Linked DNA regions of Xenopus tropicalis. The protein of the gene in region 2 interacts with the protein of the main gene of each other region in a pairwise test. Links are inferred from orthologs where the notes say so. Each region holds a gene or a part of one and is shown on either strand. Other genes may lie near its edges. The genes, in order: sh3glb2, morf4l1, mrgbp, nab2 and l3mbtl3.

Region 1 (6,534 bases), on a different chromosome or scaffold from region 2:
TCTTTCTACTAATGCACCGCCCTCTGCCCCTGGCTAGCAACATCTCACACTCAGCTGCTACCAATTCATGGCATTACTCAGGTGGGCCTGACCCTGCGGGACACAAGTAGGGGTAGCAGATGGCCATAAAAACAGCAACTGCATATGTGCCACTGTACAGCAGCCCTATTATACAGATACAGGCAACATAAGTCCAATAAACAAGGAATAAATGGATAATATGGGCCCTAGTGGTTTTTTTTAACCCGTTCAATGCCGACAACAGCTAATCTACCTTTTTGCCTTCTATTTAAATGTATGAAAAAAATGTTTTTGTAATGTAGCAAGCACAATAATTACAACTCCCCCGTGTCATATACATTCTGTCATCATTAATAGGCCTGAAAGCACATGCAGCACAGATAAGTGGAGACCCAAACCCTTTAGCCCCCAGGTTGAACCTGGCACCAAATCATTGCCCTCTTGCCCAACCTAGCCATGATGCAGGAAAAAGGGGGGTGTACATATAAAGTGTATATTTGCCCTTTAAATTGCCCAAGCTTCCAGGATATGCTAAGAGTTGAACCAGTGACACAGGCAGGGCTACACGCATGACCGAGCCAAGCAATTATTCCCATACCCTCCAGCACAGAAAAGTCTGGTGCTGCCCAACCCACAGTCGCCTGACTGATTGCACAACCCCCCCTTCCTGCAGTGTGACCCCTCACCTACAGGCACAGTCGCCAAGTATTGCGACCAGCAGTGCGGTTCATGAGTTGTGTCTCCCCAACAGCCGTCACAACACACTTGCCCTGAAATACCAAGGCTGTGGGGCTCACACACATAAGCAGTAGATTAAGGGACAAGAAGCACTTGTGATGGGGACCTTAGATTGTAAGCTCCATTGGTGCAGGGGCTGATGGGAATGCATAGGGGAATTGGTTGCCTGGCAACAGTACAGGGTGCTGAGGTACATCACTGGCGGCAACAATAAAATCCCTGGAGTGGCATTGCCCATGAGATAAGCCAAGTCGGCATAACCCTTTCATTACACATAATACTGGCGCTATTAACCTATTCAGTGCCAGGGTGGGGTAAGTAGGGACCTCTGATCCGTGTTGCAGTCACATGCCTGATAATTACACCACTGGCCTAAGAAAGGACTTGAAGGCGTAGGAAAGCTTAATAGTGAAAGGAGGAAGTATGGGAGCGGCCAGGGAATGCTGGGAGTTTTAGTTATAACAGCTTGTGTGCTAAAGGGTTGGGCCTAAGAAGTGAGGTTACAGGTGGGCTTATTAGTCTGGGGCCACTGGCCCTTTGCCCTTCCAGCTCCAGTGCAAGGGGGCGCAGGGATTTGTTATTCCGTGAGGCAGAGAAGTGTTGGCACCCCCCTTAAAACTGGGCACAGATTAATGGAATGAATGCTTGCTCTAATGCAGACTGCACTGATTTCTCTGCAGCCCTACAGTATGGGCCTTTAATAAAGTCTCAATAATACCTACACGCAAAATAAAAAAATATTTATATGCATTTAAATATAAGGCACTGGTAATTACTGTGTTTGCTTTAGAAGCACTACTTGGACTTATGGAGCCACAGTAATATCAGTTTAGGGCCCCTTATAACAAGTGGCAAGACAGCTTTGACTGCATATATATATATATATATATATATATATATCTATATATATATATATATATATATATATACATATGTATTACAATAGAGCATGTTTTGGGGCTTCACAGGACCCCCAGGTAATATGATGTGAGGGTCTGCTCACCCATTGTTACATTCCCGGAAGGCATGTTAAGCTAGAGTTGGCAAAGCTACAATGTTTTTGGGTGGGCATGGGTAATGAAAGTGGTATATAGGTGCTGGGTAAGGGTACAGTGAAGTTAAGGGTACAGGGTCAATGAAGAGGGCATAGCTACAATGTATTTGGGTGGGTGTGGGATTCATTGGGGAGGTGGGCAATGCTAAAATATAATTGGGAGGGACATAGCTAATTAAGTACTATAGGGGAGATGTATTTGGTTGGATATTTTTAATGAAGGGGTACAGAGGAGGGGAGCAAGGGTACAGTAACGATGAGGATAAAGAATATAGAGGGTATTGCTACAATGTATTTGGATGGGCATGTGTAATAAGGGGGGGGGGGTTCAGGGGAGATGTGTAAGGCTCTTTGGGTGGGCAGGGGTAATGAAGGTGTATAGAGGAGAAGCAAGGCTATGATGAATTTGGGGGCATCATTAATGAAAGAGCTATGGGGGGTGGTCAAGGTTACATAGTAGTTAAACACACATAGGTAACGAAAGGTGTATAGGGGGGTAAGGCTACAATATATTTGGTTGGGCGTGGGTAATGAAGGGGTACAGAAAGTTGGCAATGAGTACAGCCAGGACAAATGAAGGTATATAAGTGGAGTACAATGTATTTGGGTGAGCATAGCTAATGAAGGGGGTATAGGGGAGATGGAAAGGATACTACATATTTGGGTGAGCATAGCTAATGAAGGGGGTATAGGGGAGATGGAAAGGATACTACATATTTGGGTGGGCATTACTAATGAAGGGGGTATAGGGGAGATGGGAAAGGATGCTATATATTTTGGTGGGCATTGCTAATGAAGGGGGTATAGGGGAGATGGGAAAGGATACTATATATATTTGGGTGGGCATTGCTAATAAAGGGGGTATAGGGGAGATGGTAAAGGATGCTATATATTTGGGTGGGCATTGCTAATGAGGGGGGTATAGGGGAGATGGGAAAGGATGCTATATATTTTGGTGGGCATTGCTAATGAAGGGGGTATAGGGGAGATGGTAAAGGATGCTATAAATTTGGGTGGGCATTGCTAATGAAGGGGGTATAGGGGAGATGGTAAAGGATGCTATAAATTTGGGTGGGCATTGCTAATGAAGGGGGTATAGGGGAGATGGTAAAGGATGCTATAAATTTGGGTGGGCATTGCTAATAAAGGGGGTATAGGGGAGATGGTAAAGGATGCTATATATTTGGGTGGGCATTGCTAATGAGGGGGGTATAGGGGATGCTATATATTTGGGTGGGTATTGCTAATGAAGGGGGTATAGGGGAGATTGGAAAGGATGCTATATTTTTGGGTGGGCATTGCTTATGAAGGGGGTATAGGAGATGGGAAAGGATGCTATATTTTTGGGTGGGCATTGCTTATGAAGGGGGTATAGGGGAGATGGGAAAGGATACTATATATTTGGGTGGGCATTGCTAATGAAGGGGGTATGGGGAGATGGAAAGAATGCTATATATTTGGGTGGGCATGAAAATAAAGGCGGTGTAACAGAAGTTGGCAAGAGTGCAGCCAGGCTAATGAAGGGGTATAACTAGGGTGGGTAAGGGTACAATGCGGTGGGGCTGATAAAAGGATAGGGTACAGGGGAAGGCGGCAGGCGTACAATGCAGTTAAGGGGGGGGGGATATACAAACAATATATTTAAGGGAGACCGGGGTACTGAGGAACCTAGGGGGCACATAATGGCTGCAGGCTCGGAGCACAAAGTGCAGCAAAGATGGAGCAGGATAAGAAGCATCAGCTGGGAGCGGAGGATGCTGCAGAGGGGAGGGGAGTTGGGTCCCAGAGCGATGTCTTCGCTCCCGGGCCCTTACCTGCACCGCCCGGCTGAAGAACACCCCTGCATCTGATGCCAGCTTCTTCACGCTGAAATCCATCTTGTGCCAGGCTGGTAGCGCACCTCTAGCCGGGAGCCAGCTGTCTGCACTGCCCTGTTCCTGCCCACCCACGGCTAATGCTTACCCACAGGCCGCCTAGTCTATCCCAGAGCTCATCACTCCCTCCCTGCCTCTGTCCATCCGGGATCGCTTGATGCGCCTGTTAAAGGAGCCCTACCATAATAACACTGCACCCAATGCAGTCAGAGCAGCTGAGCCTCACGGGAATTCTTCCGAATTCAGTAATATCATGTAAAAGAAGATTGAAATCATCCACTGATCTGGGATGAGCAACCTGGGAACAAGGGCGAGTTGTGCACTATCTGCATATTTAGAAAGCATTATTTACCCACATATTGTGTACCTTTCTATAGGCTGGGCAGCCATCATAAAATAATATGTCCTCACACTACTTCATCAGTCTGCGTTCACTGGGATTCATAGCTCATTGCCCACTTGGACCACACCAATTAAGTAACTTGGGGCCACAAATGCTCACTTACATGATTCACAACCATGATCTACCTCATAATACCCAAACACACCCCTGATCCACTTATACCCCAGTCATTATCCAGAAAACCCTGATAGTGACCATGTCATTGGGGCTGTTATACTGCTTGGGACCCACTGTATTAAACCTGGTCATTGGGTCCCGAAAAGCTGGTCCAATGCCTTCGATCCTGAAGCCCTCTCTTGCTTTAAAGGGCTCCTTACTGTACAACTGTGGGTGAGATCTAGACACCAGCTCCTATGGGAGCCTTCAATCTCCCCTGCCCAGACCTCTAAAGCCTGGAACACTCATTGGATTCCCAAATGATTAAAAGCCAGACAACTGGCCAACATTCCCATTCTGATATCAGATACAATTGGTGTGCCACTCTTGCTCTCTTTTCTACTTTATACACAACCCTTATTCTGGTTGTCTGGCAACAGTATTCTAGCGTGACAGGTCGCACAGCACGATTGTTCCAGGAACTGCAGGCTTGTATGCATGATTGCTCTGTGTAAAGGAAGGTATGTTGCCCCCCCCTCTCACCATAGAGACAACTGCCCCACCCACAGGTGGAAGGCATATAGAAGGTGGGTGGATTTTTTTTGGTTGGGTGAAGCACCACAAGTGCTGCCCCCACAGGCTGCCAACCAGCCAACTACATTAGAATCTTTCAGTGGAAACAATTGGTGTGGTCTGAACCATATTCTCTGCAGAATATAGGCATATCCTATTTCCACTATTGATTTTCATTTGGACCAGTGTAGTACCCCCTAAAGAGCAATGTTGATTTGTCTGGTGTAATCAGTGCCCAGAACATGTCTGGTTTATCTGGGTTACTGCACTGGTGCAAACTGAGTTGGCCACAGCATAGAAATTACTATTCCCTCACTTCTCATCATGTACTAGGCCTCCCTAATCCACATATGATCAGGGTCTGTTCTCATATAAATCAGGCAATAGGGGAAGTACCCTACTGTGAGAAATTATGAGGCCATGGGTGCAGTCCCCTTGCACCCCAGACCCACTCCCACCAGCCCTAGGACCAAACACTCAGATTAGCCCACTTGTTCAACATACGGTAAGTCTAATTTTCACATACATTGATCAATGGTATTGATCTAAATACCACCAAATACACTGGGCACAGGAATGAAAGGTCTCTGCCCACTGATACAGTACTACCTGTTTATTGAGATTTTGCTGAATTCAAAGACCAAAATATCCTAATTAGGAAACAAGTGAAATAGTCCATGGATATAGGAAGTGCTTTGAATGCATCGCATCCGCTGTCCAGCAGTCCAAATGCTATTGTTATATTAAAACTGAGCTTTATGTTTGTAGAAAGTAAAGGGGCCACTAAACACAGAGTTCTGTTAAGGAATAGGATGTTGAGATCCAAACCACACTATAGAATTTCTTTTAACTGTTTCCTAACCCAGCAAGCAGAAGACATCTGCAAAAGGCATAATCCATTCTGGGATTTCCCAGCATTCAGCTGAATCGATAATGTAAAGATTAATTAAGTGCTTCGGCTTTGGTCCTCCCTGGGTTTCTGCAGGAGTCCAGTGCAATCAGCTTTCTACTTCAGGGCAGGGGCTCACTGTGAATCTACAGGGCTATAAACAGCCGTGGTCATCCGCTCATACCAGGGCTTGATCTTGGTGTTGGTCATCATATCATCGAATGATTCCAGCCCCTCCATCACTCGCATCACCCCGTACACAGCCTTAAAAAATAGGGAATGCACAGATAGGTTAGAGAACACCTGGGGAATCAAGCAGGATCAGACTGGGCCCAGTCACCCTCCCCCGATGCACCCATCACACACAACAGCAAATGCTCACCAGGTCAGCAAGGTTGGGCTGAGATCCTCCCATAAACTTCCTGTGCTTGCCCACGGCCGCCACCCAATCATTGGCTGCGGCATACAGATCCTGACGCACGTCATCCTGAAGATGGTGCCTGCAATTGGGCCACACGAGAAATCACGTAAGGCGACATGGCTACATTAAAGACAATGTGTGGCTCCTAGCATCCCTCTAATGGTTATACTGGTGGGAATCAACGGTTTTGGCTACAGCTAGAGGGCCACAATAGGGCCTAAGCGTGTCTTACCCACATCCCAAGCAATGGCACTTTATAAGCACAGCCACCCACCCTGCACACACCTGCTCTTCAGCCTTTTGCCGATTATGTACATGGCTACTGCTCCTACATATTTAGCAAACAAGCCTTCCACCGGGCCAAAGTTTCCCTCTCGGACAATGTAGTCAAAGGAGGCGAGGGCTTCATGGGGGGTCCGATACACATTGGGAGAGATGAGGTGTACGAGCCAATCATCTGCCCAG
Region 2 (5,977 bases):
TTAAGCATTCCAATTGACCTTTACTTTGCAAGGGTTATCATATTTGGCTTCTAATTCTGAATCCATTGGACCTGAACTTTACTGTATATTTTGCTGGGTCAGTGACCCCAGCAACAAGAAAGCAAGCAGATTGTGAGACTAGGTTTTCTTTTATATTATAGAAATGTTAACATGTTTGTTGATGTCCAGAAACTGATATTCCAGACTGTCATACAGAGGACTTCCTGATTACTAGGGTAAATTCAAAATTGAATAAATGCAGAACAAAATTATTATGTTGCCAGTTGACTACATCATTCTAAACATATTACTGTGCCTAAAGGGCTAATAAAGCCTGCACTCTGGTTGGGGGAAACAATGGTTTTGGGTTTTTTTCTTCAAAAAAGCCAGTGCTTCCTCGTGCAGGCGGTCATGATATTTAGCACATGTATGATGCACATGATGAGTAGGACTGCCTGAGTTCTCATTATGCACTTGCGAGAATGTGACTCGCGCTTCTATGGCACACGCACGCGCATAATGAGCCAGTTATGGCACTCACTTGTTATGCGCATGCAAGTGCCACGTCATGGCTGCCCCAACCGGGAGCTCACTCCCAGTGCGGTATGCCTAACACTGTAGTGGGCTTTTTTTTGTTTTCCCCAACCGGAGTGCAGGCTGTATTTGGCTGCACCTCTGATAGGGAAAGCAATTTTAGGGTGATAGTAAAATAGTAAGTTGGGTTGAAAAAAGACATACGTCCATCACGTTCAACCATAATAACTATATATAACCTGTCTAACTTCTAGTTGATCCAGAGGAAGGCAAAAAACCCCATCTGAAGCCTTTCTAATTTGCCGCAGAGGGGAAAAAATTCCTGACTGCAAGATGGCAATCGGACCAGTCCCTGGATCAACTTGTACTAAGAGCTATCTCTTATAACCCTGTATTCCCTCACTTGTACTGAGAGCTATCTCCCATAACCCTGTATTCCCTCACTTGTACTAAGAGCCATCTCCTATAACCCTGTATCCCTTCACTTGCTAAGAATCCATCCAGCCCCTTCTTAAAGCTATATAATGTATCAGCCAGCACGACTGATTCAGGGAGGGAATTCCAGAACTTCACAGCTCTCGCAGTAAAAAATCCTTTCCGAATGTTTAAATGGAACCTCCCTTCTTCTAAACGGAGTGGGTGCCCTCGTGTCCGTTGGAAGGACCTACTGGTAAATAAAACATTAGAGAGATTATTATATGATCCCCTTATATATTTATACATAGTTATCATGTCACCCCTTAAGCGCCTATTAAGGTGCCCTTTAATAACTTGTCAGTGACTTACTGTAACTTATGTATTATTAGAAAAAAAAAATTATGTCTCCCCATCTTTGTAGAGTGTCATGAGCTATATAAAAGCACTTTTACTTCGGCCTCATGCCATTTATATGGATATGGAACTCCTTAATTCTAACATCCTTGTGTTTTAGAATAGCAATTATACAGGAAAAAAATGTACGCTCTGTTTCTAAGCCCAGGTCCTGTTCACACGTCTAACCTATGTAACCGATATAGTTCTTAATAATAATACTGTTATGGATTTAGAAAGCAATATACATTTCCCCCTTATTTAAGCAATACAAAGTTACACCTTGTTTGAGAGCCCCTTTATTCAGAAGCAGTTATATAAGGAAACATAGTAGGCAATTTGCCACTAGAGGTCACTGCGTCATCACTGTATGTGGGTGGAAGCTACATTGTAAGAGATGAGTCTGCCTGTGTGCAGACACGCGGAGCTTATTTCAGAAATGAAAATGCATACTCCTATTTCAGCACCGATATCCGCTGCGTGTGGCCCCTGTTAGTGCAGACACAGAAGGGCTCTGTGTAACTGTAGCCTTAATGAGCAGTAATAGGAAATTAGCTTATGTACTCACCACATATAAACAAGGTCTTTTTTTTCAATTGTTAGTGCTTAGTGTATTGTGCTTTAAAAGACAACTAAAGTCTAATTAATGGCAGGGTATTATTCCATTATATTAGGAACCCCCACTGAATTTTTCCACCCAGGCTGGCGTCTTACACAATGTAGAATGAGGTGGATCTTTATATTTATAAGCTGCCATTGCATCTGTATTTACCAGGGGATCACTTGCACCTAGCTAGATGTGCAGTATAGAATTTTCCTGAGCATGTTTGTTGCTATGCAAAAGGGTTCCCTGGTAAGATGACTAAATAGAAAAATACCAAAACCATGACTCTCTAAACAGCTTATCTGCTTATTTTTATGCACTGCGTAGTGTCCACCTGATCCACTACAAATAACAATAACGTTTATTAATGCATTTCATTACTTTCTGTCTAAATGGAGGGAGGCAAACAGCCAATGCAGGGATTTATATGCTGTATGAGGCAGATTTAATAACATTAGTCAGCCTCAAAATCCGTAGGGAACAGGTTTGAGTGTGCTTGTTTCTTGTGATCTAGCACATATACTTCTCTTGGCATTAAATTTTGTCTTTTCTCATAGGTGAGCGTGTCTTGTGTTTTCATGGTCCTCTGCTTTATGAAGCTAAGGTAGGCTTTGTACTAAATATGAACACACTATTATTTCTTTGTTAAACTTTATGAATGTTAAGGAAGGTGATTAAAAATTTAAGTTGGCCTCTTGCCAATGACACCTGGGACTATTTTGGGTACTTTAGCTTAGAAACACTATACTAAATTGCCCGACAGCACAGATTTTTAAGGCTACCATTGCCTGACAAGCCTATGTCTATGAAAAGCCTGTCATGTCTATGGTTCAGATGAATTTCTACCAGATCTCTGGACAATTAAAAACCTATGTGCCTTTGCCCTATATGAGGTTTTTGTTTTTTTTTACTATGAATTAAACTTCACATAAGAACATCATTGATCTACTGAGTACAATAATGACCCATAAGGGTGTAGAGCTCTTATTTGTGGATGCAGAAAAGCAATTCTCTGTAAATTACATCCCCCATTTATGATGTAGCTGGGTAGAGATAACATGGATCATTTACTTACATAGTACAGGTATGGGATCCCTTATCCAGAAACCCGTTATTCAGAAAGTTCTGAATTACAGAAAGGACATCTCCCATAGACTCCATTTTAACAGACTTAAGTTATGGAGATCCAAATTACAGAAAGTACAGTAATACAGTAAGTTATGTTATGAGTAGAGCTTTCACCCCCCTCTGCCTAAAATACTTTATAGATGCATTTCTAACCCAGTCCTTCGAAGGGTTAAATTGGTTTCTTAACAGAAAGATAATTCAATTATAGGGCTGCTGTTCATGTGATTTTGTACTGCAGGCTTATGATACAAGAAATAGAGATTACAGCGATTTTCACCGTTGCCCTTATTGCTGGAATATATAAAGTTTGTACTTGATTAGTCTACCACAGATCAATTGTTGTGATGTATAATCCTGCTGTACTTGCCTCCTCTGACAAGAAGTATATATTCTGGGTGGTCTGGGGCAAGCAGGCTCAGTAGAGAAGTCACAGCAGGTTTAGGAATGGCTGCTCAAGTCTCCTGCTGAGCTCAAAGTCTTGGCATCTGCATTGCATTGGCTGCATTCTTGAGCCTGTGCACATGTATATGTATCCAGAGGGGTTTCACAGCAGGTATGCATTGGGTGCCCTATTTTAAAACATGGGAAGCAGGTTATAGAAAAAGTTAGACTGTTGAATGGCATGACTGTAGCTGTTAAATTAACAGAATTGGATGCGGTTTTCAGTCAAACAAAGGCAAACAAAGCAAAATGCTGTCTTGAGGAGACTGTTTGCAGAAAATGTTTGTAAAGTGTGTATGCAGTTTATCTCATTTATAAAAAAGTTATGGTTGCCATACAGGCCAAGACCCACTTGCTTGGCAAGGTCGCAAGTAATCAATTTAGAACAATGTGTATAGACGTCCGTCGGTTCAGGGACCGCATCAACGAGCTGTCGCGGGCCCCGATCCAACTAATATTCAAACCTGCCCGATCGAGATCTGCCCAATTTCAGGCCAGATGTTGGTCGGGCGGGTCTGTCGTTAGTGTCCAAACACGTGCTGATAAGCTGCCGAATCTGTCTAAGGGACCGATACTGGCAGCTAGAATCGTCCCGTGTATGTTACCCAAACAGCGGTTCCTAAAATGTAAGGTCTATTCCTGAGAGGGCATGGAACAGCATCAGATGGGACTGTGTCTGAAGGCCTATTTTTGGGGCATACCCATTTGCTCTTTAGGATGCACCTGAAAGAACAAAGGCTAGATGCAAACAGTCTGACAACCGCTGAGATAGGGAAAATACTATACTCCTTTTTTCAGGATGGGCATACTATTTTGCTCATAGCTCATGTCATATGCTTGCATTTCTGAGTACTAGATAAAGTTTGATCTTTCTTTTTATATTAGTGTGTGAAAGTTGCCATTAAGGACAAACAAGTGAAGTACTTCATTCACTACAGCGGATGGAATAAGAAGTAAGTTATATGTAGATTGACATTTCTCATTTTTAATTGACTTAATTAGATATCTATTCTTCAGTTGAAGGTAGTATTATTCTGATAACGTTGTATAGTTCTGGCTTTCATATAGCTAGAATAAACCCTCATAGAGATGAAAAAGTCTCTGTTACAAAAGATTGTAATAAAATTACATAATAATTAGGTTTGGGTAACAGAATTAGACATATAGTGCCCCTAAAACTTAGGTACACACAGGGGCCCATTCATTAAACCACGAATTTCGGATTGTTAAAAGCACAATTGGAAAAAATTCTGAGTAACCACAATAGTTTCTGATGTTCGAAAATGTCACAAATTCTTTTCTCGGACGTACAAAAAAATTGTGGTTAAGTTCTGAAATTTTCGTATCCGAACGATCGCAAACGGCGCAAAAACCTTTCTGACTTTGAAACTTCAATGCATGATTTTGGAAGCCTTCCATAGGACTCAATGGCACTACAGCTCCAACCTGGCCAAAAGAAAGTCACAATACCAAAGCTTGCATGAATTCTGAAATTGTTGTATCCTTTGCAAAAAAAAATACAACTTTTTCGTGGAATTTAACAAAAACCACGAAAAAGTCGTACTATTTTAACAACATTATCGGAGTCCATATGAAAAGTTCTAACAATTAGAAAAAATACAAATTTTTCTCATATATTTCTCTACGTAGTTTTCGGGTGCTAAATGAGTAGAAAGTTATGTATGTACCTGTTTAAACTTCTATAAATGATCAGTAATTTTACTTAATTTTGTTGCAGCTGGGATGAGTGGGTACCAGAAAGCAGAGTACTCAAATACGTGGACACCAACTTACAGAAACAAAAAGAACTTCAGAAGGCCAATCAGTAAGTGGGGCCAAAATTTGGGACCTGGGGTTTTCCAGGAAAGGAATATTTCTGTAACATGGATCACCATAACATGTTTGCTAAAAATCATTTAAACTAAAATTATCTTGTTAAAATGGACTCAGTGGGGGACTACCTTCCTGTAATATGGAGCTTTCTGGTTAACGGGTTTACCCTGCTTTGCCATTACAGTGAACCTTCAGCTCCACAAGATGTTGTAAAGGCACAAGATCACAACTGTGGGATATATTATTACTGTTAATTTTATATGCCATAGTGGACTATATAAAACATAACTTTTTTTTTTTTTAATTTTTTGTCAGTCCCCTCATACTTGCCTAATACATTAAGGGACATTTAATCAGTGAACGGCCTCTTTGAAATCTTTTAAATACCTGTCAGTCCGGTTGTTCAAAGGTTAATAGGATATTGTTGTAAAAACTTGCTTTCCTTATTTTGACTTTTTTCCCATCTAGGGATCAGTATGTAGAGGGGAAGATGAGAGCAGCAGCACCAGGAAAGAAGACTGCTGCCCTTCAACAGAAGAATGTAGAAGTGTAAGCAGTGCTGTTTTTTTTTTTTTCTTTTTTTAAGCTTCTCTTTCACTTTTTAGGTATTTTTCACCACTTAAATTT
Region 3 (6,508 bases), on a different chromosome or scaffold from region 2:
GAAGAGAACCCTACTAGGGGTAAGAGCTATGCCCAAGGGCAAACCCAGTACCGGCCACTAGGGGGCAGCACCTTTCTCAGGACAGAGCAGTTTGTGTTTGGCTGTTACATTCCTGGCAGGTACAGAAGGGGTTAAACACCTCCCATCAGGCCCCGCCCTATTAATATATATATATATATATATATATATAAATCCTGACACCTGGGGGATTAGATTCCCTCCCTGTGTGTCTCTATGGGGCTCAGCGAGGGTGCGGTCTGGCTACTCAGAGGCGGGACAAAGGCAGATAGGGCCACATACCTGTCACTCATACTCCATAGCCAATCACTGGCATCCCCTAGGGGTGGGACAACTCCCTATAGCTCCCCCTATACATGCAGGTTTTACATTTCACACTCATTTGACTTTCAATAATATCTGTATGTTAATAATTTGCTAATATATTTATTAACCCCTTCATTAACCTCTGGCCATATTAACTCCTTCTCTGACCACTGTCACTGCCAAAATCCTAGTCTGTCACCAAATCTTTATTACCGAGGGGGGATTTTTACATTCTCTCCTAAACTCCTCCTCCACCTCTGTAAGAGCCCAGGCCCCGCCCCCGCTGAAATCCTTTTCATGACTGCAGCGCTTGCTATTGCCCATTGCCCCACCCCTGCCCAAAAGCCCCTGAGATGATTTCCATTATGAATTCACTGGATATTGAATTTTTACTATTTGAACCCAGAATGTAGAATAACAAAACACTGATAGGATGAAGGTGAAATTCTCTAATGCCCCCTAATGGGGCCCCCGGGGGGGGGCAAACGATTTCATGTGTATAAATCACAACAGGAGGCGATTACATTGTCCAACACTTTATGTATAAAATCCATTAAAAATATTATTATAAAAACTGCCTTAAATACCCGGAGAGACCTCTGCTGCCCCCTGTAGGGTAAAATCCCGACATCCTTCGGCGGGAATCGATCCCCTGTCCGTCTGCTGAAAGTTCATTATAAATTCATTGAACTCCCTGAATCACTCGCAGGACAGCCCCCGAGACTCTATAGTGGGGAACAGCCAGAGCCCCCCATTCCCTGGAGGAACCTTCTGGGGGGGCCCCAGGCTGCTGACTGTGCCTAATTCATTATGAAAGAGCAAAGTGGAACGTTCCAAAGCTGATTTTTGGGGGGGGGGGGGTATAAAAAAGATGGTCAGCCCGTGGCTAATAGATTAGAGGGGTTGGGAAATGAATTGATTTATTCATCAGTAGATTAACGAGGGTTTGATTGGGCCACAGTCTGCCCAGCCCCCGCGGATGTAGATTCACTACCCCCCCCCCCCACATACCCCCTAAAAATATTTACATCCTTGAGATCTACAGTCTACTGGCTACTGCCCCAGAGCCGGGGCAGAATGTTCTGACTCTCACACAACCCATTAGTTCAGTTACACGCGGGCCGGTTCTGACCCCTTGGGAAGCCACACCCCTTCTCTCAGCCCCGCCCCTATGTGCGCCTGCGCTTGTTGGCGTTCGGGCTGGACGGGTTGCTGTTTGCGTTCTGCACTTTCTCGGTGAGCCGGCTCCGCTTGCGCTTGTCCCCCGATTCCTTGGAGCTGGATTCCGAGAGGGTCCGCTCTTTCCCGGGGGCTTTGTCCAGCCCTTTCCCAGAATTCCCAGAGTTGACAAAAGCTGCAGAGGAAGGAAATACCCATGAGTGAGGCATCTGGCAGGGCCTGTTGCCCCTTAAATCTACCCCTCCTCACGTATATACCCCACAGAAGCCCCCACCCAGGTTATGTTATCTGCCTGGGGCAACTGCTAAACTTGCTGCCCCCAGGTGGCTATACTGTTTGCCCCCTGCTAAATGCACTTATACAGGTACAGGAAGCTCCTCCCCTTGACAATGAGGATATCGATGACTGAAATGTTACTATGGCAACAGAGATGAAGTTCCGACCCCCTGAAGCCACCAAGAAACCACCCATTACCCACAATGCACTTGGAAGAATTGGTCAAGTCTCCCCTCCCCCTGCCGTGTTCCAATAGAGACAATGATAGAGGTGTATTTTTGGTTCCGGAAATGGGCTGAAACGGTTCTGGAAGACCCAAAACTTGCACCTTCGGGTGTTGTTCCCCTTTGAGTTAACGTTTAGTACGATGTAGAGAGGGATATTCTGAGACAGTTTGCAATTGGTCTTCATTTTTTATTATTTGTAGTTTTTTAGTTATTTAAGTTTGGAATTTTAGCAGCTAATTGGTTGCTGGGGTCCAAGTTACCTTAGCAACCAGGGAATGAGAGGCTGGTATATGAATAGGAGGAGGGGCTGAATAGAAAAAAAAGTTACAAAAACGTTACAATAAAACTGGAGCCTCACGGAGCAATAGGTTTCTGGCTGCCGGGGTCAGTGACCCCCATTTGAAAACTTGAAAGGAGGCAAATAATTCAAAAACTATAAAAAATAAATAAAGACCAATTGAAAAGTTGCTTAGAACTGATCATTGTGTAGCATGCTAAGAGTTAACTTAAAGGGGAACCGCCCCCTTAAGCGCTGCCCCTACAGACTCCTCAGGGGCCGAGGCTGGGAAGCTGAATAACAGATTGCAAGCTCCTCAGCCCAATATTTCCCACCTTCATCCGAGCCGCCGTGTATTTCCACTTCCTCCTTTACTTCCTCCTTTAGCTCCTCCTCCGACGTCACCTTCCCTGCAGAGAGGAGGAGGGGACACAGACCTTTAGGGCCCGGCTGTATGGGGGCCCCGGGGGGGGGCACAAGGTTAGTAATGGGGTACAGAGAGCATTAGGTCAGTACCCAGAGGGCAACTGGACCCAAAGGCTGACACTCACCCTCCTTCACCTCCTGAATCAGATCCTCCGGGAGAATGAAGTTCTTCTCCGAGTTTGGGAAGGGGAGAATCTCAGACTCGTGCTGCAACGGGAAAGTAACGGCAGGAGGTTAGGGGGGCGCAGGGGTGGAGCAAACAGCAGGGGGCGGGGCTACCTCACCTGGAAGTGTAAGGAAATGCCCCCCCCATTCCCCGGGGCCACCTACCAAGGCCTGCATATCGTACATGCTCCGCAGGTGCTCCCAGATGACTCGGGATGAGACCTGGCGCCCGATGTTCTGGCTGAACTTGTCCCGGATGCAGATCATGTGGAAGTGGCGGTTCACGCCTGCGAGGGGCAAAAAGAAGAGTCAGTTGTGCCCTGCGTCTGCCAAAGGGTTAATGAGTCCCGTAGTCACATGGTTATTAGGGTTCCCCCTAGTTCTGCCCAAATACCCCCCAAATAGAATGTATTTATACACAGGGGGCAAATCTGCAGCAAAAGCCCAGAGCAACCAATCAGCGATTCTCTTTCAGCCGCAGAGAACAATAGAAACAAAGATCCCATTGGTTGCTATAGGTTACTGCCCAGGACTTTACTTTTGCGGTGTAATTACACTCACTGGTACAATAACCCCAAAGTGCCCGATATAGTGCCCCTACCCCCCCAGGTACAGACACCCAGAGCCCCTCATCCCGCCCCGGGCCGCCATGTCCCGACGCCACCCGGACCGGAAGCCCCCCCTTCCCGGGTTCCCAGATTACGCGAGTCCGGGGATGGGCCGCGGCCTCCACTCACCGACCGGCTTGTGGCCGAGCATCGCATGGAACAGACACACCTCAACCTCCGGGCTCCACAGCACCGGCTCTTCCGCGGGGGGGGCAGGGGGAGGCTCGGGTTTTTCCACAGTAGTTTCCCCGGCCTCTAAATCCCCCATCTCTGCAGCCAATGGGGGGAAACTGCGGGGGACAGCGACTCCTAGCGGACACCATGGGTGTTGCACTGTAGCGCAATATCTATAGCAGCACAACAGGGGGCGTCTATTGGGCAGCAGCCTCTTCCGCTCATAACGGTATCCAGCAGCGGCACTGTGCCTAGTGCAATAGCGCCATCTAGTGCTCACCAGCAGTACTGCACTCAGCCAAACGACAGCGCAGCGAACGACTGATGTTACACATGAGCAGCGCCACCTAGTGTTCCCCAACCGCACTGCGCGCATCTGCAGCTTCCATAGCGACTCTCTGTGGCCAGCGGCAGCCAAACATGTTATTACTTTGAGCGCTATCAGGCTGGAACAGTAAGCGCTGCACTTACACAGCGGCACCCAGTGGGCACGTTTGGTAACTGCACCCAGCTGATATATTACCTTTAGTATTAAAGGAACAGTAACATTAATTAAAGTGTTTTAAAGTAATTAAAATATAATGTGCTGTTGCTCTGCAAAAAACTGGTGTTTTTGCTACAGAAAAGCTACTATATAAATAAGCAGCTGTGTAGCCCCGGGGGCAGCCATTCCTGCACCGGTACAGCTGGGGTGTTTGCTACAGAAACCCTACTATAGTTTATATAAATACCCCGCTGTGTAGCCCCGGGGGCAGCCGTTCAAGCTGGAAAAAAGGAGAAAAGGCACAGGTTACTAAGCAGATAACAGATAAACACCCACTATATGGGGCTTATCTACTAGTTAACTGCTATGTAACCTGTGCCTTTTCTCCTTTTTTCCAGCTTGAACGGCTGCCCCCGGGGCTACACAGCGGGGTATTTATATAAACTATAGTAGGGTTTCTGTAGCAAACACCCCAGCTGTACCAGTGCAGGAATGGCTGCCCCCGGGGCTACACAGCGGGGTATTTATATAAACTATAGTAGGGTTTCTGTAGCAAACACCCCAGCTGTACCAGTGCAGGAATGGCTGCCCCCGGGGCTACACAGCGGGGTATTTATATAAACTATAGTAGGGTTTCTGTAGCAAACACCCCAGCTGTACCAGTGCAGGAATGGCTGCCCCCGGGGCTACACAGCGGGGTATTTATATAAACTATAGTAGGGTTTCTGTAGCAAACACCCCAGCTGTACCAGTGCAGGAATGGCTGCCCCCGGGGCTACACAGCGGGGTATTTATATAAACTATAGTAGGGTTTCTGTAGCAAACACCCCAGCTGTACCAGTGCAGGAACGGCTGCCCCCGGGGCTACACAGCGGGGTATTTATATAAACTATAGTAGGGTTTCTGTAGCAAACACCCCAGCTGTACCAGTGCAGGAACGGCTGCCCCCGGGGCTACACAGCGGGGTATTTATATAAACTATAGTAGGGTTTCTGTAGCAAACACCCCAGCTGTACCAGTGTAGGAATGGCTGCCCCCGGGGCTACACAGCGGGGTATTTATATAAACTATAGTAGGGTTTCTGTAGCAAACACCCCAGCTGTACCAGTGCAGGAATGGCTGCCCCCGGGGCTACACAGCGGGGTATTTATATAAACTATAGTAGGGTTTCTGTAGCAAACACCCCAGCTGTACCAGTGCAGGAATGGCTGCCCCCGGGGCTACACAGCGGGGTATTTATATAAACTATAGTAGGGTTTCTGTAGCAAACACCCCAGCTGTACCAGTGCAGGAATGGCTGCCCCCGGGGCTACACAGCGGGGTATTTATATAAACTATAGTAGGGTTTCTGTAGCAAACACCCCAGCTGTACCAGTGCAGGGCAACAGTACATTATATTGTTATTACTTTTATACACTTTCATTTTTTGGTGTTACTGTTCCTTTAAGGGGCGCTGCGCTGCGCAGGTTTGGGTGGGTTACAAGGGAACCCAGGGCGGAACCCCTGAGGAGCTGGGGATGTTCCTGCTGGGGCAGGGAAGAAGCCAGGACTAAATGTACATCGCAGGAGCCTGTAGGCAGTTTTAAGCATCCCACCCCCATTTACAATAGGCCACTCCCATGTCCTCACCTACAGTAAGTCACTCCCATGCTCCACCCACTATAGGCCACCCCCCCATGCCCCCACCTACAGTAAGCCACTCCCATGTCCCACCCACTATAGGCCACCCCCCATGCCCCGACCTACAGTAAGCCACTCCCATGTCCCACCCACTATAGGCCACCCCCCCATGCCCCCACCTACAGTAAGCCACTCCCATGCCCCACCCACTATAGGCCACCCCCCCATGCCCCGAACTACAGTAAGCCACTCCCATGTCCCACCCACTATAGGCCACCCCCCATGCCCCCACCTACAGTAAGCCACTCCCATGCCCCACCCACTATAGCCCACCCCCATGCCCCCACCTACAGTAAGCCACTCCCATGCCCCACCCACTATAGGCCACCCCCCCCATGCCCCCACCTACAGTAAGCCACTCCCATGCCCCACCCACTATAGGCCACCCCCCCATGCCCCCACCTACAGTAAGCCACTCCCATGTCCCACCCACTATAGGCCACCCCCCCATGCCCCCACCTACAGTAAGCCACTCCCATGCCCCACCCACTATAGGCCACCCCCCCCCATGCCCCCACCTACAGTAAGCCACTCCCATGCCCCACCCACTATAGGCCACCTCCATGCCCCCACCTACAACAGACCATTCCCATGCCCCACCTACAATAGACCACCACCCCATGCCCCACCTACAATAGACCACCCCCATGCCCCACCTACAATAGACCACTCCCATGCCCCACCTACA
Region 4 (5,977 bases), on a different chromosome or scaffold from region 2:
AAAGCAGTATCTCTTCACTGAATCAATATTCCCATATCAGGGGACATTGCAAAATAAAACCTGTCACTGTTTCACAGTTTTGGAACCAAATCTAAGACCGAAGGCATTACCCAAAACACAGTAGACAATTATGGGTCATACTGTAAAGCAGTAGTAGAGCAGAAACCAAAATCAAAGTCATTACTACTTTCACTGCAACTGTCTCCATAGCCTGCTACCAAGCATCTGCTCAGTTTAGACAAAGAAATATTCTCTTTCAGATTTAGATAAATCATTGACAACAGAAAATTATAAAAGTGGTAAAATATATATATATATAAACTATGTGCTCTAAGGCAGCATGTTGGTGGTATTTAGCACTTTCTTATTTATATCCTAAGCACATATTCACGAGAAATTGTACATATTTACACAACAATGACACCTTGCATAACAGGAAATATTGCTTGCAAGTAGCAGTATCAAGCGGGGAATGCTGACCAGCAAGCACATAGTTCTCACCCACCTTTGCAGAGTGTTGAAACTCTATATGTCCTTGTATATAATACTTTGTTCTACATGAATATATTGGAGAATATAACAAAAGTTGCAAAGTTTGCACCAGGTCTGGCAAACCATAGCAACTACATACTACTTTATTGGTTGCTGTTGGTTACTAGACTTTTGCAAAACATTTGCTTACATGCTTGTTAGGAAGCAGTGTGTCTTTGTACTATTTTGCTAATCATGAGAGTGTAAATCACAATGTAAAGCTGGCCATACACGCACCGATGATATCGTACAAAACCTCGTTTCGTATGATATTTGGTGCGTCTATGGCAACTCGCAGAAGGCTGCTGATATCGGTCGACTCGCCAATCGGGCGGGTTAAAAGATTTTGATCGGGCGCCATAGAAGGCGTCTGAGCAAAATCTGCCTTCAGGGCTGAATCTACAGAAGGAGGTAGAAATCCTATTGTTTCTACCTCCATATCTGACGATTCAGCCCTGAACGTCAGTGGAGGGTTGGAACGATCTTTTGTGCGGCCAGTGATCACACGAAAGAACGAAAATCGCCACGTGTATGGCCAGCTTAAAATGTAACAGATCATTCTTCATAGCCTGGAGATATCTAAAGAAAATCTAAAGCTGCTAGACTAACGTGAGTTCTGGTGTTATGGCCAGCTTACTAACTAGGGATGCCTGTCTTGTTACCGATGGCTGCTGAAACATTAACAGTTGCAAGGAACAAACTAAGAGCATTTTGAAGAATTCAGTGGTGGCCAGAGTACCCATGTGCTCCCCGAACAAATAGCCTTTAAGCCTGTCTGACTTTTACTCTGTTCCATAGGGTTACATCCAGTGAAAGTTGTCATTTAACCTTGAATAATTCTACTGTATTATGCTTAAAAGAGATTTAAAGTTCCAAAAAGAAAATGTATACTTACGCAAAACTTACCCAGCCCAAATCCACAGCAGCACTTTATCAGTAGGGTTGCCACCTTTTTCTGTCAATAATACTGGCCTTCGGGTGGGAAGGGGGGGTCATAATGTAACGGGAGGGAAGATGGGTGGAGTGGGCTGGGCAGGGAAAAATTGGATGGGGCAAGGAAATGGATAGGGAAATGGACAGGCTTATAGGTGGAGCATGGTTATAAGGGGTGAGGGAATGATTTATAGGGCATTAAAAATTTACCAGCAATTACATTGCCAGTAAATGTGTAATACCTATGCCGGCCCTAGCTGATCATTTACTGCCCAGGCTGGTCAATACTGGCCAGGTGGCAACCCTGTTTAGCAGTTATTCTGTGCCTCACAAGATGCCTCCAGTAGCTTCCTATATTATTTATCTTCTGACTCACATTAAATGCCATAGGCTGTTTTCAGTTACCTAAGCTTAGGGACCAGCTTTATATAGTAATATAACATTCACAATACAAAGCTAAATAGTAATTCTATTCTGTTGTGTATAAAAGCTATGAATTCTGCATCAGAATTAATAAGTACCAATAGAATCAGCTTATTTGACAAATGTCACCTATTTGCTAATATTGAGATGATTTCCAATAACTCCCACCAATACTGCTATGGGGCTGCTGAACCAAGTTCATTTTTTATGACAAACAACTTTTCTAGTTATAGTTGATGCATCATATCTGGCTTGTTTTGTGATCATTTTTTTGCTGCTTTGGGCATTTATTGAAAATCGTTTCCATTTATACTGTATATGGTATTTTTTTTTTATTTCTGCTCTTTGTTATTGATCTTATTCTTCTCATGTTATTGTTCAATGAGGCATTAGATTTTTGATTATTTTGACATGTTTTTGTTACCAGATACAGACCTTGCAGTTGGGTTGTTAAGTTGGTATTTTGGTTTGCCTTGTTGAATATTAGGACCATTTTATTTAATTCTTTCTTTCATTTTGTGTATTGGGCTGCTTTCTAGGTAGAAGTGCTGATTGGGTTCTCATTATAGTCATATATCCAGAAACATTTAAAACAAGTTTTTTTGTAACATTTCTATAAATTTCTGTCTTGCAGGATCACTACGGACCCAGTTATTCTTCCTCGCACCCTGGGTGAACTGCAGTTGTACCGTGTCCTCCAAAGAGCCAACTTGCTTGGTTATTATGACACCTTCATCCAGCAGGGGGGAGATGATGTGCAGCAGCTTTGTGAGGCGGGTGAGGATGAGTTTTTGGAAATCATGTCTCTGGTTGGCATGGCAACAAAACCATTGCATGTCAGACGATTACAAAAAGCCTTGAGAGATTGGGCGACCAATCCAGGATTGTTTAATCAGCCTGCCTTGGGAAATATACCTGTCAGCAGCAGTATACCATTGTTCAAAATTTCAGAGACAGTGGGGCGAATTGGTAGAAATACAAATGGGCATCTCAATGTCCCTGAAGTTCAGTGCAAAAGCCCTGGAAATTTTGTTCTAGAACAAGCTGAGAAAATATCCCCTTCCCAGCTAGACAGGAGACAGTGGACTGCTCAGATTTCCCCAGAGCTAGATGATGCAGATGAAGAAGAAGTTGGTGAGGAAGAAAATGGAGGTGATCAATATTCTTCACCTGGGGAAAGGCTAGAACCTGAGCTAGCCCAGGTCGTGTCCGATAGTGTGGATAGACTAATGAAAGGACTGCCACGAGGAGATATCAGTGAAGCCAGATCAATGCTAAAGTTGAACAAGAAATTGGGTCGTTCACTCGGACACATTTTCCAAATGGGCAATGGAAGTCAGAGGAAGGAACGTGAAATTCGCAGACACAGTGCCATCTATGGACGGAGTGAATCCAAGAGACGGGAAGGAAAGAGGCTTACACTGCATGAGGTCAGCACAAACTTCTTTTTACCTGCTAATTCTTCATTGTTTTAGCTGAGGTACCAATAGAATTTACTGAGCTGCTCAGAGTGTAATGAGTTGGTGTTGATGTTTCCCATATTGTGTGTAAAAAAGGCAAAGTTGTGCTCATCACTAAATTTTAAACCATTAGGTCATGGTGCAATGAGACTGTGACCACAAATTCCTATAGACAGAAAGAGATTTTTTGGAGTAAAAGTGGTGTTAAACTGGTGTAAAACACTTTTTCCATGCTCATACAGAAATCTGCCTAAATTCTGACTCAACCGTCACTTTTCAGTTTTTGGTGAAAGAAAGACATTTTACAGCCACTTGAAAATAATGTCAATATATTGTATAAGTCTTTATTCAAAGGAAAAGTAAAGCCTCACTGACAATTCTTTAGTTTTGGTACTATTGCACAGAACCCTCCTCAACATGTCACTGATGTGGTTGGGGAGGGAGGATAAGGAATCTTTTGGAATCTGACCCTGTCATAAACAGCCATCATTTCTTTTGTTGCTCATATTAGGGCTCAATTACAACTGTAAAAGCAGTGAGCAAAGTAAATTTTGCGCAACCGTCATGGTTTCTTCTCATAATGCAGAGCTTTTTCCCAGAATTGTTGTTGTGCTGATCCACCAAAGTTAACACAACTACACTTGCACTTTAATGTAAACTGAATGCAATTGCGCTTAAAGTTTTCCAGGTCCTGTTGGCATCATTTCCAGTGTTTGCCATAGAGTGACGTGCGCCCAGTTCTTTAGAGGCAAGTTCGCTGTGTCTATTGACCCAGGTCTGGAGGTGGTGGTAGCTCCAGGGTTCCCCTGTCAATTGGTACAACTCTTCTCAATTCAGAATGGGAGGTGGATAGGCAGGGTTGGACTGGGGTATACAGATCCCACCGGGGCTTCTGCCTCAGGGGCCCCTGCACCCCCCAATGGCCCCCGCTGCAGCCTTCACACACCTCCCCGCAGGCCCCCCCACCCGTCCAACCCCTTCCCCCGAGCGCGCATAAATGAAACTTACCTGCGGCGCGTCGGGGAAGGGAGACCGGAGAATCAGTGGAACTCCCTGTGGGGAATCGGGTCTGGGCCGCCGGAGTCCACTAGAGCCAGGGCCCATCTGGCTTTTTCCCAGTGCCCCGGCAGCCCAGTCCAATCCTGAGGATAGGACTGACACAACTGAAAGTTTAAGGTGTTCCTTCACAATAAAGGGTGTATTTGCTAACACTGGAGATAAATATCTCTAGTAATGTTGCCCATAGCCACCAATCAGATGCAGACCAATTGCAATTGGTCTTTATTTTTTCATTATTTTCAGATTATTAATTATTTAGCTTTTGTGCAGCAGCCTTCTAGTTTGGAATTTCAGCAGCTATCTGGTTGCTAGGGTCTAATTTAACCTAGCAACCAGGCAGTGGTTTGAAAGAGAGACAGGAATATGAATAGAGAAGGGCCTAAATAGAAATATAAGTAATAAAACAATAAAATTGTAGCCTTTCAGAGCTATAGTTTTATGGCTGTCAGGGTCAGTGACCCCCATTTGAAAGCTGGAAAGAGTCACAAGAGGAAAGCAAAAAATTAAACTATAATAAGATGAAGACCAATAGAATAGGACATTCTTTAACATACCAAGGGGCACATTCATCAAATCACAAATTCGAATCCCGAATGGGAAAAATTCGGATTGGATACAATAATTTTTGAAGATCGCAAATATCACGAAACGCAAATATCACAAAAAAATCGTATTAGTCACAATAATATTGTATTGGTGATCCAAAATTTTCGTATTGAGCGATACTGAAGCTTGAATGAATCCAAAACTTTCATACTCTGCGCGACAATACGATTTTGTTGCACAAATTTTGTTGCAAAGTACGAAAAAGTTGCGCAAAGGTACGAAATTGTCGCAGAAAATACGTTCAGTGCGAAAAATAAGCATTCGGAGCGTTCGTACGTTTTTAAGTATCTCCTGAGGCCATTAGCCTGGCGCTAGAAACAATTCACTTAGGGCAGATTTATCAAAATGTGAGTTTAGAGCTCAATGCATGAAAACTTATCCAAGTTCTATACATTCCTTTGGGATTTCTCGAAGTGTTTTTATTAAGTTAGAAGTCAGCATTTAATAAATGCGCTACTAAAAATCCCATAGGAATGAATAGAACGTGGGTGAGTAAGCTCACATATTGATAAATCCGTTCTTAAAATGATGTTCTTAGTGTTCCACTTCCTTTAATATTTTAATTAAAATGTTAAGCACAAACTAAAATCTCTGCTTCCTACTCTCCCCTACAGCTCACAATTAATGAGGCAGCGGCCCAGTGCTGTATGAGAGATAACACCTTACTCCTACGGAGGGTAGAGCTCTTCTCACTAGCAAGGCAAGCTGCCCGGGAGAGTTCTTATCTGGCGTCTCTTAAGTGCTCCAGGTTTGTTCAGCTTCACATTGTAAATGGGTTCAAGCTGTGTCTGCAGGGTGTTTTGTGTCTTTTACTAATCCATCTCATTCAGTTCTGTAACCCAAGTGTTCCACTACAGCCAACCACTTTCTGTTAACTGTTTGTGATCTGTGTCCCCTGTGCAACTGACTCAACCTCCTGTAGCAGCCCTGCCTTGTTTGGGGCTGGAATTCTAGGCTTAGAATCA
Region 5 (6,680 bases), on a different chromosome or scaffold from region 2:
TGGTCCGCGGCCCGGCGGTTGGGGACCCCTGCTTTACATGACTCTCTTTAATTTCGAAAAAGCCATAATTAATCTAGAATGCTTTGGACCTTTGGATCTTTCCGTAATGTAGATCACTTGACCATAAATCTGCTTAAAATAATTAATAAATACACTGTTTTATTAGTGTAGAGAAAAAGGAAATATTTTTTTATATATGGTTGCTGCACCATATATACATATATACAGTGGTGCTTGAAAGTTTGTAAATTTTCTATATTTTTATATGAATGTGACCTAAAACATCTAAAAGTAGATTAAGAAAACCTCGTGTAACAAATGAAACAAAATTTATTAGATTTCGCCATATATTTATTGAAAAAAATGATCCAATAACATATATGTATCTGGCAACAGTAAGTGAATCATGCTCTCAGTATTTGGTGTGACCCAATTGTGCTGCAATAACTGCAAATAAATGTTTGTGGTAACTGTCAGTCCTGCACATCGACTTAGAAGAATTTTAGCCTATTCCTCCATACAGAACAGCTTCAGCTCTTGGATGTTGGTGGGTTTCCTCAAATGAACCACTAACTTTAGGTCTTTCCACGACATTTCAATTGGATTAAGGCCAGGACTTGGCCATTCCAGAACATTCACTTTATTCTTCTTTAACCATTCTTTCATAGAATGACTTGTGTGTTTAGTATTAGTTGTTGTGCTGTATGAACCACTGAGATTCAGTTCATGGACAGATATCTTGACTTTTTTCTTTAGAACTCTCCGGTATAGTTCAAAATTCATTATTCCACTAATAATGGCAACCTGTCCTGGCCCAGATGCAGCAAAACCAGCCCAAACCAGAACACTCCCACAACCACATTTCACAGATGGGAAAAGGTACTTATGCTGGAATGCAGTGTTTTACTTTCTCCAAATGTAACTCTCCTCATTTAAGTAAAAAAGTTCTATTTTGGCTTTATCCATCCCCAAAACATTCTTCCAGTATCCTTCTCATTTGCCCCCATCATGTAATAACAAGTGGTGGGGGCAAAGACAAGGGAGCGCAGAGTAGGAGTAGGCAGGAGAGGTACCTGCCTGGCACACCCATTGTTGCACCCTAGGCAGGTGCTTCTTCTGCTTACCCCTAGTTCCGGCGCTTCCCTGGTTTCCTTTGTAACTTCTCGGACTATAAGACACCTTCCAGATGGAGTTATTTTTGATGGTCAACCACTTCTGGGTAGGGTAACAACAGTCTTAAATTTCCTCCATTTGTATACCATCTGTCTGACTGTTGATTGGTGGAGTCCAAACTCTTTTGAGATCATGTAATCTTTTCCAGCTTTATGGGCATCAACAACTCTTTTTTTTGAGGTCCTTAGACACCTTGTTGAGCTATGATACACATCCACAAATGTGTTGTATGTGTGATCAGGCTTTGCTGGTACCCCCTTTTTATTTTATATAAAACAGGGTCTCTAACTCACACCTGATTGTCATCCCATTGACTGAAAACACCAGACTGAATTCACCTTCAAATGATATGATAATCCTAAAGATACACTTATTGTTGCTACATGCAGATATGTTATTGGATCATTTTTTTTTCAATAAATACATGACCAAATATAATAATTTTTGTTTCATTTGTTACACTAGGTTTTCTTATTACTTTTAGGACTTGTTTGAAGATCAGATGATGTTTTAGATCAAATTCACAAACTTCCAAGCATCACTGTACGTATGTATGTGTGTGTGTGTGTGTGTGTGTGAGTATGGTGTATATGCTGTGGAAATGTGCTGCCAGGAATACCAGGAATTAAATATTGAAAAAAATAATAAATATACCAAGGAAAACATTTAAACAAGATTTTCAGATTATAAACTCATTTGGACAATGCTTTACCTCTTGCATTAGTTATTGGTTGTTTCTGTATGTAAATTTGTATGTTTAATCCATACATACTTATTATTAGTTTATAGGGCTACATATTGGTGCTTTATAAATATGTGTTAATATTAATAATTAGTCACTCACAGCACATTATAACAAGCATTTAAAATCTTTTGGTCATATATAGGAATCATTGACAAAACCTTAATTGTATCCAGTTAAAATTAATTACATATATAACATATTACATACTAATATTTTATATATATATATCTATATATATATATATATATATATATCATGAAATAATCCATGGCCGGCACACCCTTAAAATTCAAAAAAAAACCAGGTTTTTAAACAATGAGTTTTCAATAAAAAAATTTTTTTGAATTTTAAGGGTGTGCCGGCCATGGATTATTTCATGCTAAATACTCAGATTTTGGCTGTGCACCCCACAGAATACTAAAGCCTTGGAGTGCAGACACCATCAGGACTGATATATATCCCCTTTCTGACATAGGGTCAGTTGGGTTTATGTAAAAAAACAAGGATAAACACTTAACAGTATTCCTCAGATTGAGAATAATACATAATCATCTGCTTCTCTGCTTCTAATTAACAGGGATTATTTTTCACTATCCATACAACCGCTCCTTGATCTTTTGTCATGTGATATTATCCAGAGACGTGAAGTTCCTCTCAGAGGAACTCCTCAGAGAATTTATGCACCTCCCACCATGGAAGCACAGGGACTTCAAGCCCCAGAATGTATCACCTTTATATGGAAAAAGATAAGGGAGGGGTTATATGAATCTGCCAGCCTTAGGGGGATGGGGAAATGGTCCCTGTGAGCCACAGGCACACTACTGTGTATTTCCTGGATTATTAAAAAAAAAAAAAAAGAAAATTATATATGGGCAGTTCAGATAAGTAATTTCAGTTTGTGAATTTCATATATTAATATGAATTACACAGCCTTGTACAGTGACTTCTACTGTATATTGAGAGTTGGTCCCTAAGAGCCAGTAACTGACAGCTGTACAGATTGCATGGTGCAAAACAGCTGAAAAAAATGGGGAGCTACAAGGGCATCTTTGGGGGGCACAGATCTTCACTAACAAGGTGCTGTAGTGGCTAGTATGCAATCCCAACACCTGATGTCCAGCTAGGCTACTGTGTTAAGCTTCCTAAATTAGTGAAAAGTATGTTAACATCTCAAAATGAAATATATTTGTTTTGATGCATTCAGCATGCATTCCCATAGTTGGATATTTAAAGAGGTGTGCGGTGGCAAACCCTTCCATTCCAGTCAAGACACAAGTAAAGCAGAGATATACTCCTAATATAAGACTACAGCATTTATGGCTTATTTTAGGAATGTGTAAAAGTGTAGTTAATGTTACTACCTAAAACTAATAGTAAAGTTGCTGCAAGTTTGCATGGAAGGTTTTCTCTGAAAGCATTTTTAAAATCTAGTTATATAGTTTATATAGACTGCTAATTTTCTATGCTAGTATTGCAGGGAACAATAATTCTTATTATGTGCACCCCTTTCTCAATATATAATACTCCATACTCCTCAGCCAGTTTTCTGGCAATCCTGGAGCAGTTTATTGTGTTAAACTGATCAACCTGGAGATGATTAAAGTCCTGAAACATTCTGTAATAGGAGGGAGGGGGGATTGCTGCGGTAAGTCAGGACAGTGTGCAGCAGGTTAGGAGTGCTGGGGTGCAGCTTGCCTGCCGGATACTGATCCGTCACTGTACTGCTAGCTCTCTAATAAGCATCACACACAGTTTCCTGCAATATCACGGCTCTCTATTCCTCTGGCTGCAGCTATTCCCTCATTTCCCCGTTTGCAAAGCAACACTACCCCACACACGGCAAAACTCCCCTCTCACTATGCAGACCATCACTTCTCACCACTCTTCTCTCTCCCGGAGCCACCTCTTCCACCATAAGATGGCGTCAGGGGGCAGATCCTAAATTCACACCGCCTCTCTTTGTTGCTACGGTAACACAGCACATTCCCACCCACTGCCCCCCGCCAATCAAGCAGGGTAATTTAAGGGGCAAAGAGTGGGGCAATTAGGAGTTCTGTTTTATTAGTTGCAGTCTGAATGATTATAAATTTGGTATGATAAGGATAATATAGTAGCCCTATGTGGTAACTCCAAAGTTCTGAGCATTATTGAGAAATTGAGTTTTCAAGAGAAATGTAACCACATTTATTATGGAGACTGGCATTAACTAAAAAGCTCGCCTACAGGGGGCGCAAAAGTAAAATAAATAGCTGCCACCGAATTGCGTTCGATTAAGAGGAGTGGTTTATCCGTGACTGCCCGGCTATGGTGGCTAATGCGTGGCATTCCAGTGCTTTGTACAGCTACATAATAAAGCATAGCATTGAAGAACAAAAAAAACATGAGTCTAGGTTGATAAAATATGTATACTAGGGGAAAACAGTATTTCTGAAAATAATCACCCAGCAAATTAACTTTGTGGTTAATTTAAAGGACATGTCAAAACCAAAAATAATGTTTTGCCTAATAAAAGAAAACATAACTATAAGCAACTTTCCAATATGCATTTATTAAACATTTTAGAGCTTTAAAAGTAATTTGTAATTGCTATAGAAAGCAGCATTTGCTGAACCCCTGGTTATGACTTTTTAAACAATGTAGGTCAGGCTCCTCCAGCAAGGCAGGTCTGTCAGTCTGCTGCCTTGTGTTACATTGTTTCAAACCCCAGAGCCACCAGGGCAGAGAGTAGAAAGGACAGGCAGACACTGCTTTAAAGTAACAGTAACACCAAAAAATGAAAGTGTTTTAAAGTAATTGAAACATAACGTACTGTTGCCCTGCACTGGTAAAACTGGGGTGTTTGCTTCAGGAACACTACTATAGTTTATATAAATAAGCTGATGTGTAGCCATGAGGGCAGCCATTCAAGCTGGAAAAAAGGAGAAAAGGCACAGGTTACATAGCAGATAACAGATAAGACACCATTGTATTCTACAGGGTTTATCTGTTAGCTGCTATATAACCTGTGCCTTTTCTTCTTTTGAATGGCTGCCCCCATGGCTACACACCAGTGTTTATATAAACTCTAGTTATGTTTCTGAAGCAAGCACAAAACTTTTACCAGTGCAGGGCAGCAGTACATTATAGTTTAGTTTTTTTTAAATTTATAATTTTTTTGGTGTTACTGTTCCTTTAAACAGCAGCTATACAGTCATGGTCAAAATTGTTGGCACCCCAGAAAGTATTTCTCACAGAAAAGTATTGCAGTAACAGATGTTTTGCTATACATATGTTTATTCCCTTTGTGTGTATTGGAACAGAACAAAAAAGGGAGGAAAAAAAGCAAATTGGACATAATGTCACACAAAACTCCAAAAATGGGCTGGACAAAATTATTGGCACCCTTTCAAAATTGTGGATAAATAAGATTGTTTCAAACATGTGATGCTTCTTTAAACTCACCTGGGGCAAGTAACAGGTGTGGGCAATATAAAAATCACACCTGAAAGCAGATAAAAAGGAGAGAAGTTCACTTAGCATTGCGTGTCTGTGTGTGCCACACTAAGGGGGAGATTTACTAATCCATGAACGGTCCGAAGGCGTCCGAATGCGGTTTTTCTGTAATGATCAGTATTATTGCGACTTTTTCGTCGCCGTCGCAACTTTTTCATATATTTTCCGCAACTTTTTCATCGCCGTAGCGAAAAAATCGGATTGGTTTTTCCGCCGTTTACTATAGCTCAATACAAAAAAAGCGTGACGCCGACAAAATAGTCGCGCAAAATACGAAAAACAAATTTTTGTTTCCAATACGATTTTTTTCCCTTTCGGGATTCGGATTCGTGGATTAGTAAATCTGCCCCTAAGCATGGGCAACAGAAAGAGGAGAAGAGAACTGTCTGAGGACTTGAGAACCAAAATTGTGGAAAAATATCAACAATCTCGAGGTTACAAGTCCATCTCCGGAGATCTAGATTTGCCTTTGTCCACAGTGCGCAACATTATCAAGAAGTTTGCAACCCATGGCACTGTAGCTAATCTTCCTGGGTGTGGACGGTAGAGAAAAATTGATGAAAGGTTGCAACGCAGGATAGTCCGAATGGTGGATAAGCAGCCCCCAAACAAGTTCCAAAGAAATTCAAGCTCTCCTGCAGGCTCAGGGAGCATCAGTGTCAGCGCGAACTATCCGTCGACATTTAAATGAAATGAAACGCTATGGCAGGAGACCCAGGAAGATCCCACTGCTGACACAGAGACATAAAAAAGTAAGACTACAGTTTGCCAAAATGTACTCGAGTAAGCCACAATCCTTCTGGGAAAACGTCTTGTGGACAGATGAGACCAAGATAGAGCTTTTTGGTAAAACACATCATTCTACTGTTTACTGAAAACGGAATGAGGCCTACAAAGAAAAGAACACAGTACCTACAGTGAAATATGGTGGAGGTTCAATGATGTTTTGGGGTTGTTTTGCTGCCTCTGGCACTGGGTGCCTTGAATGTGTGCAAGGCATCATGAAATCTGAGGATTACCAAAGGATTTTGGGTCGCACTGTAGAGCCCAGTGTCAGAAAGCTGGGTTTGCGTCCGAGATCTTGGGTCTTCCAGCAGGACAATGACCCCAAACATAGGTCAAAAAGCACCCAGAAATGGATGGCAACAAAGCACTGGAGAGTTCTGAAGTGGCCAGCAATGAGTCCAGATCTAAATCCCATTGAACATCTGTTGAGAGATCTTAAAATTGCTGTTGGGAAAAGGCGCCAAAATTTCTAGGTGAGAGGGGT

Evidence for each region.
Region 1: the proteins of morf4l1 (region 2) and sh3glb2 interact in a two-hybrid assay, tested with the Homo sapiens proteins (2 studies listed by BioGRID and IntAct). The link is inferred for Xenopus tropicalis from reciprocal best matches to the Homo sapiens genes MORF4L1 and SH3GLB2.
Region 3: the proteins of morf4l1 (region 2) and mrgbp interact in binary tests that used the Homo sapiens proteins (3 or more experiments, as listed by UniProt). The two-hybrid records come from large-scale screens. The link is inferred for Xenopus tropicalis from reciprocal best matches to the Homo sapiens genes MORF4L1 and MRGBP.
Region 4: the proteins of morf4l1 (region 2) and nab2 interact in binary tests that used the Homo sapiens proteins (3 or more experiments, as listed by UniProt). The two-hybrid records come from large-scale screens. The link is inferred for Xenopus tropicalis from reciprocal best matches to the Homo sapiens genes MORF4L1 and NAB2.
Region 5: the proteins of morf4l1 (region 2) and l3mbtl3 interact in binary tests that used the Homo sapiens proteins (3 or more experiments, as listed by UniProt). The two-hybrid records come from large-scale screens. The link is inferred for Xenopus tropicalis from reciprocal best matches to the Homo sapiens genes MORF4L1 and L3MBTL3.

The regions. Positions count from the first base shown.
Region 1 is NC_030684.2:22,815,685-22,822,218, reverse strand, and holds the start of sh3glb2 (endophilin-B2), read right to left. Parts: upstream 3,768-6,534; 5' UTR 3,691-3,767; coding exon 3,628-3,690; intron 1-3,627. Other genes in the region: ptges2 (prostaglandin E synthase 2), read right to left, coding at 5,784-5,912, 6,031-6,148, 6,355-6,534.
Region 2 is NC_030679.2:118,087,125-118,093,101, reverse strand, and holds part of morf4l1 (mortality factor 4-like protein 1), read left to right. Parts: intron 1-161; exon of another isoform or gene 162-236; intron 237-2,505; coding exon 2,506-2,552; intron 2,553-4,402; coding exon 4,403-4,470; intron 4,471-5,255; coding exon 5,256-5,342; intron 5,343-5,818; coding exon 5,819-5,899; intron 5,900-5,977. UniProt on the Homo sapiens protein: Component of the NuA4 histone acetyltransferase (HAT) complex which is involved in transcriptional activation of select genes principally by acetylation of nucleosomal histones H4 and H2A.
Region 3 is NC_030686.2:2,537,013-2,543,520, forward strand, and holds mrgbp (MRG/MORF4L binding protein), read right to left. Parts: upstream 3,790-6,508; 5' UTR 3,751-3,789; coding exon 3,612-3,750; intron 3,162-3,611; coding exon 3,040-3,161; intron 2,917-3,039; coding exon 2,835-2,916; intron 2,694-2,834; coding exon 2,619-2,693; intron 1,679-2,618; coding exon 1,494-1,678; 3' UTR 848-1,493; downstream 1-847.
Region 4 is NC_030678.2:139,238,415-139,244,391, forward strand, and holds part of nab2 (NGFI-A-binding protein 2), read left to right. Parts: intron 1-2,521; coding exon 2,522-3,317; intron 3,318-5,626; coding exon 5,627-5,760; intron 5,761-5,977. UniProt on the Homo sapiens protein: Acts as a transcriptional repressor for zinc finger transcription factors EGR1 and EGR2. Isoform 2 lacks repression ability.
Region 5 is NC_030678.2:83,382,941-83,389,620, reverse strand, and holds the start of l3mbtl3 (lethal(3)malignant brain tumor-like protein 3), read right to left. Parts: upstream 3,871-6,680; 5' UTR 3,834-3,870; coding exon 3,769-3,833; intron 1-3,768. UniProt on the Homo sapiens protein: Is a negative regulator of Notch target genes expression, required for RBPJ-mediated transcriptional repression. It recruits KDM1A to Notch-responsive elements and promotes KDM1A-mediated H3K4me demethylation.